2 linked regions of the Caenorhabditis elegans genome follow. The protein of the gene in region 2 interacts with the protein of the main gene of each other region in a pairwise test. Each region holds a gene or a part of one and is shown on either strand. Other genes may lie near its edges.

The links. The genes of interacting proteins can lie anywhere in the genome.
Region 1: the proteins of magu-1 (region 2) and paic-1 interact in a two-hybrid assay, tested with the Caenorhabditis elegans proteins (one large-scale study listed by BioGRID).

Annotation. Positions count from the first base shown.
Region 1 is NC_003280.10:4,369,077-4,374,208, forward strand, and holds paic-1 (Phosphoribosylaminoimidazole-succinocarboxamide synthase), read right to left. Parts: upstream 3,450-5,132; 5' UTR 3,440-3,449; coding exon 3,344-3,439; intron 2,832-3,343; exon of another isoform or gene 2,762-2,831; intron 2,558-2,761; coding exon 2,069-2,557; intron 1,772-2,068; coding exon 1,595-1,771; intron 1,267-1,594; coding exon 982-1,266; intron 938-981; coding exon 737-937; intron 695-736; coding exon 671-694; 3' UTR 549-670; downstream 1-548. Other genes in the region: try-9 (Peptidase S1 domain-containing protein), read left to right, coding at 1-62, 108-235, 327-542; ntl-2.1 (NOT2/NOT3/NOT5 C-terminal domain-containing protein), read right to left, coding at 3,870-4,326, 4,811-5,026, 5,088-5,132.
Region 2 is NC_003281.10:468,647-473,260, reverse strand, and holds the start of magu-1 (MAGUK family), read left to right. Parts: upstream 1-1,558; 5' UTR 1,559-1,565; coding exon 1,566-1,644; intron 1,645-1,938; coding exon 1,939-2,249; intron 2,250-2,853; coding exon 2,854-3,066; intron 3,067-3,375; coding exon 3,376-3,456; intron 3,457-3,567; coding exon 3,568-3,754; intron 3,755-3,800; coding exon 3,801-3,898; intron 3,899-4,614. Other genes in the region: nemp-1 (Nuclear envelope integral membrane protein), read right to left, coding at 1-30, 84-166, 516-598, 648-802, 850-928.

The sequences.
Region 1 (5,132 bases), on a different chromosome or scaffold from region 2:
TGCTCCAAAGATCCCGAGGATCAGAGAAACCGGATATAAGCTTTTTGGTTATGGAAGAGATCGTAAGTTCCGATTTTTATGTGATCTTTTGAAATTTTTAATTCCAGCTTCGGATAGTGTTTTGGAGTCTGGAAAGTTGAAATCGCTATACTCGTTTGTTGCGGAGTGCTCCGACGATTTCCCATATGGCGGGGTGTATTGTACGTCGGCAGTGAATAGAGGATTGTCTTGTGATGTTTGTTTTTAAAGTTTAAAAGTGTTTCTTCAGAAGTAGGCAGAACAATGCCTACTTGCCCAAGATGCCTAATAGTTTCCACTGATTCCAGGGTGACAGTGGCTCGGGAGTTGTCCGAACATCGGACACTCGAAATGTTCAAGTTCTCGTAGGTGTTTTGTCAGCCGGAATGCCTTGTCCAGAACTCTACGATACCCATAATCGTCAACGTCAGCAACGGAGACAGCTGACTCAAGAGACTGATCTTCTCGTGGATGTCTCGGCACACGTGGATTTCTTCTGCACGTGCTGTGGAATGTGCAGTTGAAAGTTTAAGATTCAAACATTTCATTTCGTTTTTAATATAAGAATGCTGAAATAAAAGTGAACGTTGAGTAATTAGTTAATTTACACAAGAAAGTTTTTGAAAAATCTGATTTCAATTCAGTCCTGCATCTATTCAAGTTTGCGATTGGCGTTCTGAAAGTTCAAAAATTAGAAATTCACATCTCTATCACTTACGTAAATGTTGATTTGATTCTTGAGCTGTGCAGTGAGCACTTTTCCAAACACAATATGATTGTGAGACGCGAGGATTTTTGCGGCGGCAAGCGCGGCCTCCGATGGGTCCAACACTGTAGTACACCCGATTCCATTCGGCATTCGGAGTGATGACCAAATGTCAAGACTCGTTGATTCACTTGGTGGCGGGCAGTTGATCACCTGAATTCTTTGAAATAAAGATCATCTGATCTTTCAAGTCCTACCGGAAGAGACGAGTTTCCAGCAATAACTGGACCGAGTCCATTGGATCTTCCAGCTACTGCAATCACAACTGTCGGAACTCCACTTTCTTCGAAATCAGCGATAACTTCCAGAGTGTCCGAGGTAGTTTTATGAGCTGAGCTTACTTTCAGCGTAGTTTCCAGTCCAAATTTCTTGGCTTCATCAGAGATTTTCCGTGCGAATACGCCATCCGAACCAGATCCCATGATCACAAGAACATGGCATTTTTGCTGGTGTTTTGAGAAGGTGGCAGTGATATCCATAACCTGGAAATGTTATTGGTAGGTAGATACGCCTTCGTGTCTATGTGCCTGCCTACCTACTCAACGTGTCTACCGAAAATTGTAGGTATGCATATTGGCAGAAATCAGGTGCAGATCGCCTTGCAGGCAGGCAAGTTATTGTGCTTACACGAAAGGTTTGATTCGCGTAAAAATCTAACAATTGATATATAGGATGATTGAATTTAGGTTTAGGCTTAGGCTTAGGCTTATGCTTAGACATGGGCTTAGGCTAAAACTTAGGATTAGGCTTAGTCTTTGGTTTAGGCTCAGGCATAGGCATATGCTTAGGCCTAAGCTTCGGCCTACTAACCTTTGTATAATTCTTCAAAACGAGAGCCAACCCCTCTTCTGTCACTTCCTTCATATCCCTGTAAACTTGCTTATCCAACTGCAGACGTCTATCATTTTCAGGCCAAACTCTCCACGAGTCATTGTCAATCACGTCGGCCAGGAGAATTTCTCCTTCAACTGTGACTCCGAATTCGATCTGGAATTTTCAGGTTTTCTTCAAAATTATTTCAAAATTACAACAACCGACAATTGTAAAATTCAGCGAAAAGAAAAACACACTTCTCCTCGTGAAGTACTCAAGCTGCGTAAATCGACACGTTACAGAAAACACCCAGTTTTAAATGGTGCTGATTTCCTTTCAAAATGTAAATATTTACAAAACGAATATATTGCAGACCGAACATTAAACTTACATACTTTTTATTATGTTTACTTTTTAAAGTTGAGACCGATAAAAAAAAAGAGAATAATAAAAACTTTGCAACACCCTCACCTTCATATCAATCAGAGCACTATTTGAAAGAGCCCATCCTTTCTCCAATGCTCTAAACACCAACTTTGTCATCTTCTTCATCAATGAAATCTCTTCTCTTCCAATTTTCAAATGATCAATCATCAAACCATTCGACACAATTTGTTCATCAGTCCATTGTGGATCATCATTAGCGTCGTCTTTGAAAAATGTCTCCAATTTCAGATCATTAAATCTGAAACCCTCTTTAACTCCAGGATTTCTCTTCAAGAAGGATCCTGTCGCAACACGTCGTGCCACCCATTCAATCGGAATCATGGTGCATTTACGGGCGACAAATTCAGTTTCAGAGATGCTTTTTTCAAAGTGTGTTGGTAGACCGAGAAGTTGAAGATATTCAAACACGTTTGATGTGGTTTTACTTGCGATTCTAGACTTTCCTTCAAGCTCATTTTTACGGACAGCGTTGAATGCGGTCAAGCTATCTTTGGAACGAATGAGCACATAATCCTGAAAAGATTTTGTTCAGAAATTGAAAAAGTTGGATTCAATTTTGTTGAAAAGCACATTATTATCGCAATCCAAACGGAAAAATTCAAATAGATTTCAAATTTACGAAATTGACCGAGTTTTTTCTAGGCTCCGTGAAAGCTCAGACACCGTTTTTACAGGAAATTTTCCGTACGTGTATTTGAAAAATGTGCTGAAAGAGTGGCCGAGTTTTCTCATTTCCTAGGCCACAAGCTGGCTATTTGCGGCGTGGCCTAGAAAACGTGAAACCTCGGCCACTCACCGACAGTGAAAACCGAACATTTCTTTCAAAGATTATTTTGAGCATACTTCTGAAAAATCTCTTCTGATAATTCGGTTGGCCGAGTTTTCGTGTTTCTAGGACACGCTTTTCTGAATATTATGTAGACGCATAAAAATGTGACTTGGGCTGCAAAAGCGCGCCACGGATAACTGAAAACCGGGTCTCGTTAGGTATTGGCGGTAAAACCGTATAATCCTACTTTTTTGCCGATTCCAGCACTTTCCAATCATTTCTCGTTGTTTTTAACGATTTTTATGTTGAAAAATGCAAAAAAAATTGGGTGAGATCGTCAAAAATTCACGTTCCCAACGAGACCCAACGTTTTGGGGCGGAGCTTGTCAGATTACTCGCGGAGCGCGTTTGCATCACGATTTCAAAAGGCGCTTTTAAAATATCTAAATTTTAATCTATAAAGCATTAAAAAATTAGTAGAAAATTAATGTTTTCCCAAATTTTTTGAATTTTCAGTGAAAAAAACCAACCTTTTCTCCTTTAATATCAAAGATTTGCTTGGTTTTTCCTTCAGCAAGAAGCTCCAAGTTTTCGGGTCTCGACGCGATTTCAGCCAACGACGACATGACAAACAATAATAGTATCGAATGAAACTGTGTTGCTATCACGGAACGATATCAGAACCCCCTTGTAGGCGAGTTTGTCATCGACAAACATCTTGTTTTCAGCCTTTTTCCCCGTCTTATCAGTTCGGTGTTGCGCCACTGAAAATACAGAGAAAACCGCCGCCGCCAGTCATTGTGAAGCTCTTTCTTTGAAAAATCACAGGTTTTCAAAGAGCAACTTGTGTATATCGATAATCGTTTATACGAAAACGTAGAGAAAAGAGGAAAAATAAGGAAAACGAAGGAAAAAAATGGGAGATTGGGAGAGAAAATGTGGAGAGAAAGAGGGGAAAAAGAGATGGAAAATGAGAGAGAAAGGGAGCAATTCGAGAACAAGATGACGAAAGTGGGATATAGAAAATTTGCACACGAGAGATCATCTTCTTCTTGTTTAGTTTGGAGTAGCTCGCGCCGCCGATGGAACGGCTCCCGGTTGCACATTGATTCCTCCGATTCCAGCTGCTCCAACACCACCACCACCCATAACTCCGTTAAGACCCGCTGGTGCCGGTGGAGTGATTTGTCCGCCACCGCCGCCACCTGTGCCGAGCGTCAAGTTATGCATCTGAAGCATCAGACCCGTCTCCGGACCGCTCGGAAATTGTGGTCCTTGGAAAAAGTATTTGTAGGGTGTCGGTTGTCCGGAAACTGATTGCGGCATTTTCGGCCGATCCTCGAGCTCTTTGTACTCCAACTTTAACTCTTTCGGAATTTTTCGCCATTGCATCTGATCGAACACGTTGTAATGCCCTTTTTCATAATTTCCCGTCTGTTCTTTCACTCCACCGTACTGAGAACGCGTCAACCACACCTGTTCGCTTTTGTGAAATCGCCATTCGCGAGCGTACCTGCAAAAAATTTGAAAATATAATGATTGTTTCGTGATAAAAAAGATTTTCTCAATTGCTAACATAAAATATATGTTTTTTTCAATTTTCTAGCTAAAATTTTAAAATTATTAATAATTTGATTCGTGAACTTCGACCGCGACGTAACTGCAAACGGAGCGGCTCAATAATTTTTATTTTAACTTTTCGCTAAGAACGCGTGATTCACATGATTTTTCATAAATTTATATATGAGGCGAAATAAGAATCAACTAAAATGATGAACAATTATGCGATCTTAACGAAAAAGCGGATTTTCTTGAAAGTTTTTCGCCCAGAACGAGTGATTTTCTATCATTTTGGCCAATTTTTTATGCGTTTCATATGTAAATTCATGAAAATCACAAATTCTCGGGGAAAAAAAAAAACTAAAATAAATTTTTTAAACACGACGCTCCGCTCGCGGTCATGGTCGATGCAGGTTTTTGGAATAAACTTTACTTACAATTCGCACGCCGCCGCCACCTGATAAATCTCGTTTGGACAGTTGTAAAAAAGATAGAATAACACGTCTTCTGAAACTTTATTCAATCGCAGCGGTGGAAGTTTGTCTCGAATATGATTATGCGTCATGTACTCCTCGGGCACCTTCACGTCGAGCTCGTGTGCTCGAATCGGCGAATCGGCCCACGGACCACCAAAGTTCATGTACAATTTTCGTCTGAAACAGAGGGAAATTAGAGTTTTTCTGGGCTTTTCGGGCTTTTCAGGCCACTACTCACTCTGACAAATTCAAATTCAAGCCCAACGTCGTAAGATCATAACCT
Region 2 (4,614 bases):
CGTAGACACCAACACGGAAATAGTTGACTTCTGGAAGAATTTGTTTAACGATTTTTTAAAAATAAATTCAATTTAATACTAACTCCAAATTAAAACCGATATTTCGTATGGTTCAGTTGTGGAGACGCCGACGATTGTGTCATTGAACGGATTTAACTGATGAGATCTGCAAAATTTAGTTTAATTGTTGGATTTTTCAGAATATTTTACAGCTAGAGTTGGGATACCCGAAAATCCGTGACTTTCTGCAAAATCTTCGATGAATTTACTAAAATCCTAGCAGAAACGCAAAAGTTTAATCGAATTTTAATTAAAATTAGACGGAAAATTCGGAATTATTGGCTTTCTTCTAACTTTGGGTCTGCTAAATATTTAGCATACCCAACTTTGGTGTGCTAAATATTTAGCAGACCAAAATTTCCACGTTTCTCTGTTGCACATTTCTATTTATCAGCGAAATCCAACAAATTTTTGCTGATTTATCATAAAATCTGTGTCTTTTTCGCGGTCCAAACCTCAAAAGTGCGGCTTTCCGTAAAATTCCGAAATAACGATTGTCATTATCGTAAAGCTGTTGAACAGTTGTGCAGTTTGTACCCTGAAACAACTCCATTTTATATTTTCGCAAGCATTTCCCGAGAACCTACCTGATAAAACTGATATTGATCCGCATTTGTCAGATTAGTCTGCAAAAAAACATCGGTAAACGCGTATATCGCGTTGTAAGGTAGTGCTTTCTGATAGAAAAAGTCGAGATTGTACGAGTAAAGCTTGGCGCCGACACGAAGGACCTGGTTTAGAGCTGAAAATTATTTTTTTTTTAATTTTGAAACTTTAAAAAAGTCTTACCTGCCGGTTTTTGCTCACAATCCTCGAATTTATAGGCCAAGCTACCCGCGACGAGTAGTGCGAGGGTCAGTAAGCGCATCTGCGCCGAATTTTTGCTGAAAATTCAGAAATATTTGTTGGAAAATTAGAAGATGGGGAGAAATTCAACCGAAATTCAGAGAAAAAACGTGAAAATTCACATGAAAATTCGAAATCTAGGTTTTCGCGCTGCCGGGTCCCGCCACGAAAGTATTCTGTGGACTCCTCGTGGACAACTTTCAGTTATTTTGTTTTGTTATCAATTTTTAGTTAATTTTCGAAAATTTCTGGAATTCGATTCCAAAATCAGAAAAGAATGATTGAAAAATTCGAAGAAAATCGAAAAAATTGTGAAATATCGAAGGAAAGTCGATATTTATGAACTAAACTTCGCCAAAAATTGATTTAAACTCGAAAAATTAACGATTACAATAAAAAAATGTCATAAATTTTAATTTAAATACGTTTTATCAAACCTGAAAAAATAAAATTTAAATTCAAATTTCCTTGCAACGACACTCCGCCGCACGCCTTGTTTAACCGAGCCCCTCTAAATTAAAAGGTTCCCCCTTTGTTTTACACTAAAGTGCTCATTTTTTCGCTTTCAATTGATTTTTTGACAGAAATTTCGTGTATTTTTACGAATTAGTGCTGAAATTTGAAGAAATTTGAAGAAAAAACCGAATTCCAGATCTCAAATGCCCGACAATTTATCGGCAATATTTGGAACAATACTGGATTATGCAGAGGAAGTAGCAGCGGGGACATCTAATGAGAGTACGTGTTTGAAAATCGAGAAATTGCAAGACATTGAGCAGATAAAAGAGATTCTTGGCGGAAGAATAATACAATTTCGGCGAAAATTAAAGGAATTTTGGTCTGCTAAATATTTCGCAGACCCAAATATAACTTTTTTTTTGAAAATACGGTTTTTAGAATTTTAAGTAGATAAATAAGCTAGTTTAAACATTTTTAATCTTAAAAAAATCAAGTTTTTTATGGTTTTTAAGCAAATTTTAGCTACTTTTGAAAAAAAAAGTGGCAATAAACACCAATTTACTGAAATTCCAGACGACGAAAGGCCTCCACGAACAAGTTTAACGAAAAAGCAACAAAAAGCCGTATCAATTCTGCGGAATTTCTCAACAAACGACCAGAAACAAGAGATCTCATTTCAAGAACTATCACAGAACGTTCTCGACGACTGGGACATTTCAAATATCAAATCTTCGTCGGTTCAGCAACTCGTTGAGCTCCTAAATTTGCCACGTGTACAGGGAGTATTATGGGCGGCGCAGGAAATTTCAGCCGGGCGGTTTGCTCCGCAGCTTCCAGACGTTCCGTTCGAAGTTGACGAGGATGATGGGGTCGCTGTGAAAATTGTGAGGATCGACGGTTTTTGTTCGGAAATTCTATTGAAATTTTCAAAATTTTGGAAAAATTGGCTAGTAAAATTGACAATTTTTTCAAATTTCCACTTTTATAAAATTCTATTGGTCTGCTAAAATTGGCTTGGGTCTGCTAAATATTTAGCACACCCAACTTTGGTCTGCTAAATATTTAGCAGACCCAACTTTGGTCTGCTAAATATTTAGCAGACCCAACTTTGGTCTGCTAAATATTTAGCATACCTAACTTGGGTCTGCTAAATATGGGCATTGGTCTGCTAAATATTTAGCATACCTAACTTGGGTCTGCTAAATATTGGCAATGGTCTGCTAAATATTTAGCAGACCCAACTTTGGTCTGCTAAATATTTAGCATACCCAACTTGGGTCTGCTAAATATTTAGCATACCTAACTTGGGTCTGCTAAATATTGGCATTGGTCTGCTAAATATTTAGCATACCCAACTTTGGTCTGCTAAATATTGGTTTGGGTCTGCTAAATATTTAGCATACCCAACTTTGGTCTGCTAAATATTTAACAGACCCAAAAATTTTATATTCCATTTCATTTTTCTAATTTTTTGTTTCAATTTTCCAGGTGCGAATAGTGCGACGTGGCGAACCCCTCGGTGCAACAATAAAATGCGAACGTGGCAAAGTATACGTGGCACGAATAATGGCGAACGGTGTGGCAGACCGTAGTGGATGTATTCAGGAAGGCGATCGAGTATTGGAGGTCAATGGGATTACTGTAGCGGATAAGGAGCCCAGGGAAATCGTGAAGCTGCTGGATAAATGTGATAATGGAATTGTTAGTGATTTTGTTTTAAAAAATTCGAAAAAACAACAATTTCCTAGCAGTTTATCACGAAAATCAGAGAAAATTTGTAAAAAATCACATATTCGTATCGTCTTGTATACCTGAAAATTGCTAAAAAATTCTGTATTTGTTAAAAAACATTGAAGATGGATTTATTATAATTTAAAAAAAAAACCTGAAATATCAGAAAAAATTTGCATTTTCTCAGTAATTTGTAACTTTTAGCCTGAACTAAAAAAGTTTTTAAGAAAATCTATAAAAATACACGTTTTTTCTCAAATTTCCAATATTATTTTTCAGATAACCTTCAAGCTGATCCCTGCAGAAATAAACCAGAAGTTAAAGCAGAAAAAGTCGTCACATCGGTATGCCCGAGCTTTGGTAAGTGGTTTTTTCTAGTTTTTCTCAGAATTTTAGTCCAAAATTCGCAAATTTTTCAATTTCCAAGTAGAAATTCCGTAAAAATAGCCTAGAATTCTTCCTAGTTTTCAGTTCGACTACGATCCATGGCAGGACAAACGTCATCCCTGCCCAGAAGCTGCAATTTCCTTCCGCGGCGGTGATATTCTAGAGATCCTCGACGAAAAGGACCAATATTGGTGGCAAACTCGAAAAATCGGATTCGGAGCACTGGCGAGGCGGAAAGAGAGTCATGATGACGAGAATCGAGATGATTCCAGTGAGAAAATTGCGCTCTGAAATTCCAAAAATAATGATTTTTTCAGAAAAAGTGGGTCTCGTACCGTCGGAATGGCTACAGTGTCAATCGGAAATTCCAGAAAATGGAATAGATACTTCAGATGATTTTCAGTCATTTTTAGAGGTATAATTTTGGAAAAAGGGTTTAAAAGTGACTTATGACTTCAGAAAAATGAGAAAATTTAATTTTAAAAAAATCTAATTCCACGTGGTTTTTATCCAGATAATTGGAATTTTGGAGATCCAGAAAATTCCACTTTTGCACTTTTTTTCAGAATTTTCTTTAAAAAGCGTAGTTTTTTTTTCAATTTAAACGCTATAAAATATTGGCAACACTAAAGTCCAATCGGATCCTTAAAAATTCAAAAAATCGAAAAAAAAAGTGGAATTTGAGTAAAAAATCTATTTTTTGCGAGTTTTTGAACATAAAAATGGATTTTTCGTTAATTTTTAGGTAAAAAATAAGAGAATTTTCAGTGGAAATTTAGCTAAAATGGCGATTTTTAACGTTCACGACTGAAAATTGTGGGGTTTTTAGCGCGAAAAATCGATTTTTTTGGGATTTTTTAGGTTAAAAATGGGAATTTTCAGTGAAATTTAAGTAAAAAATCAATTTTTTGCGAGTTTTTGAACAGAAAAATGGATTTTTCGTTACTTTTTAGGTAAAAAAAAGAGAAATTTTTTCATTTAAAAAAAAACCAATTACACGTGGTTTTTATCCAGATAATTGGAATTTTGGAAATCCAGAAAATTCCACTTTTGCACTTTTTTTCAGAATTTTCTTTAAAAAGTGTAGTTTTTTTTCAATTCAAAGCTATAAAATTGGCAACACTAAATCTC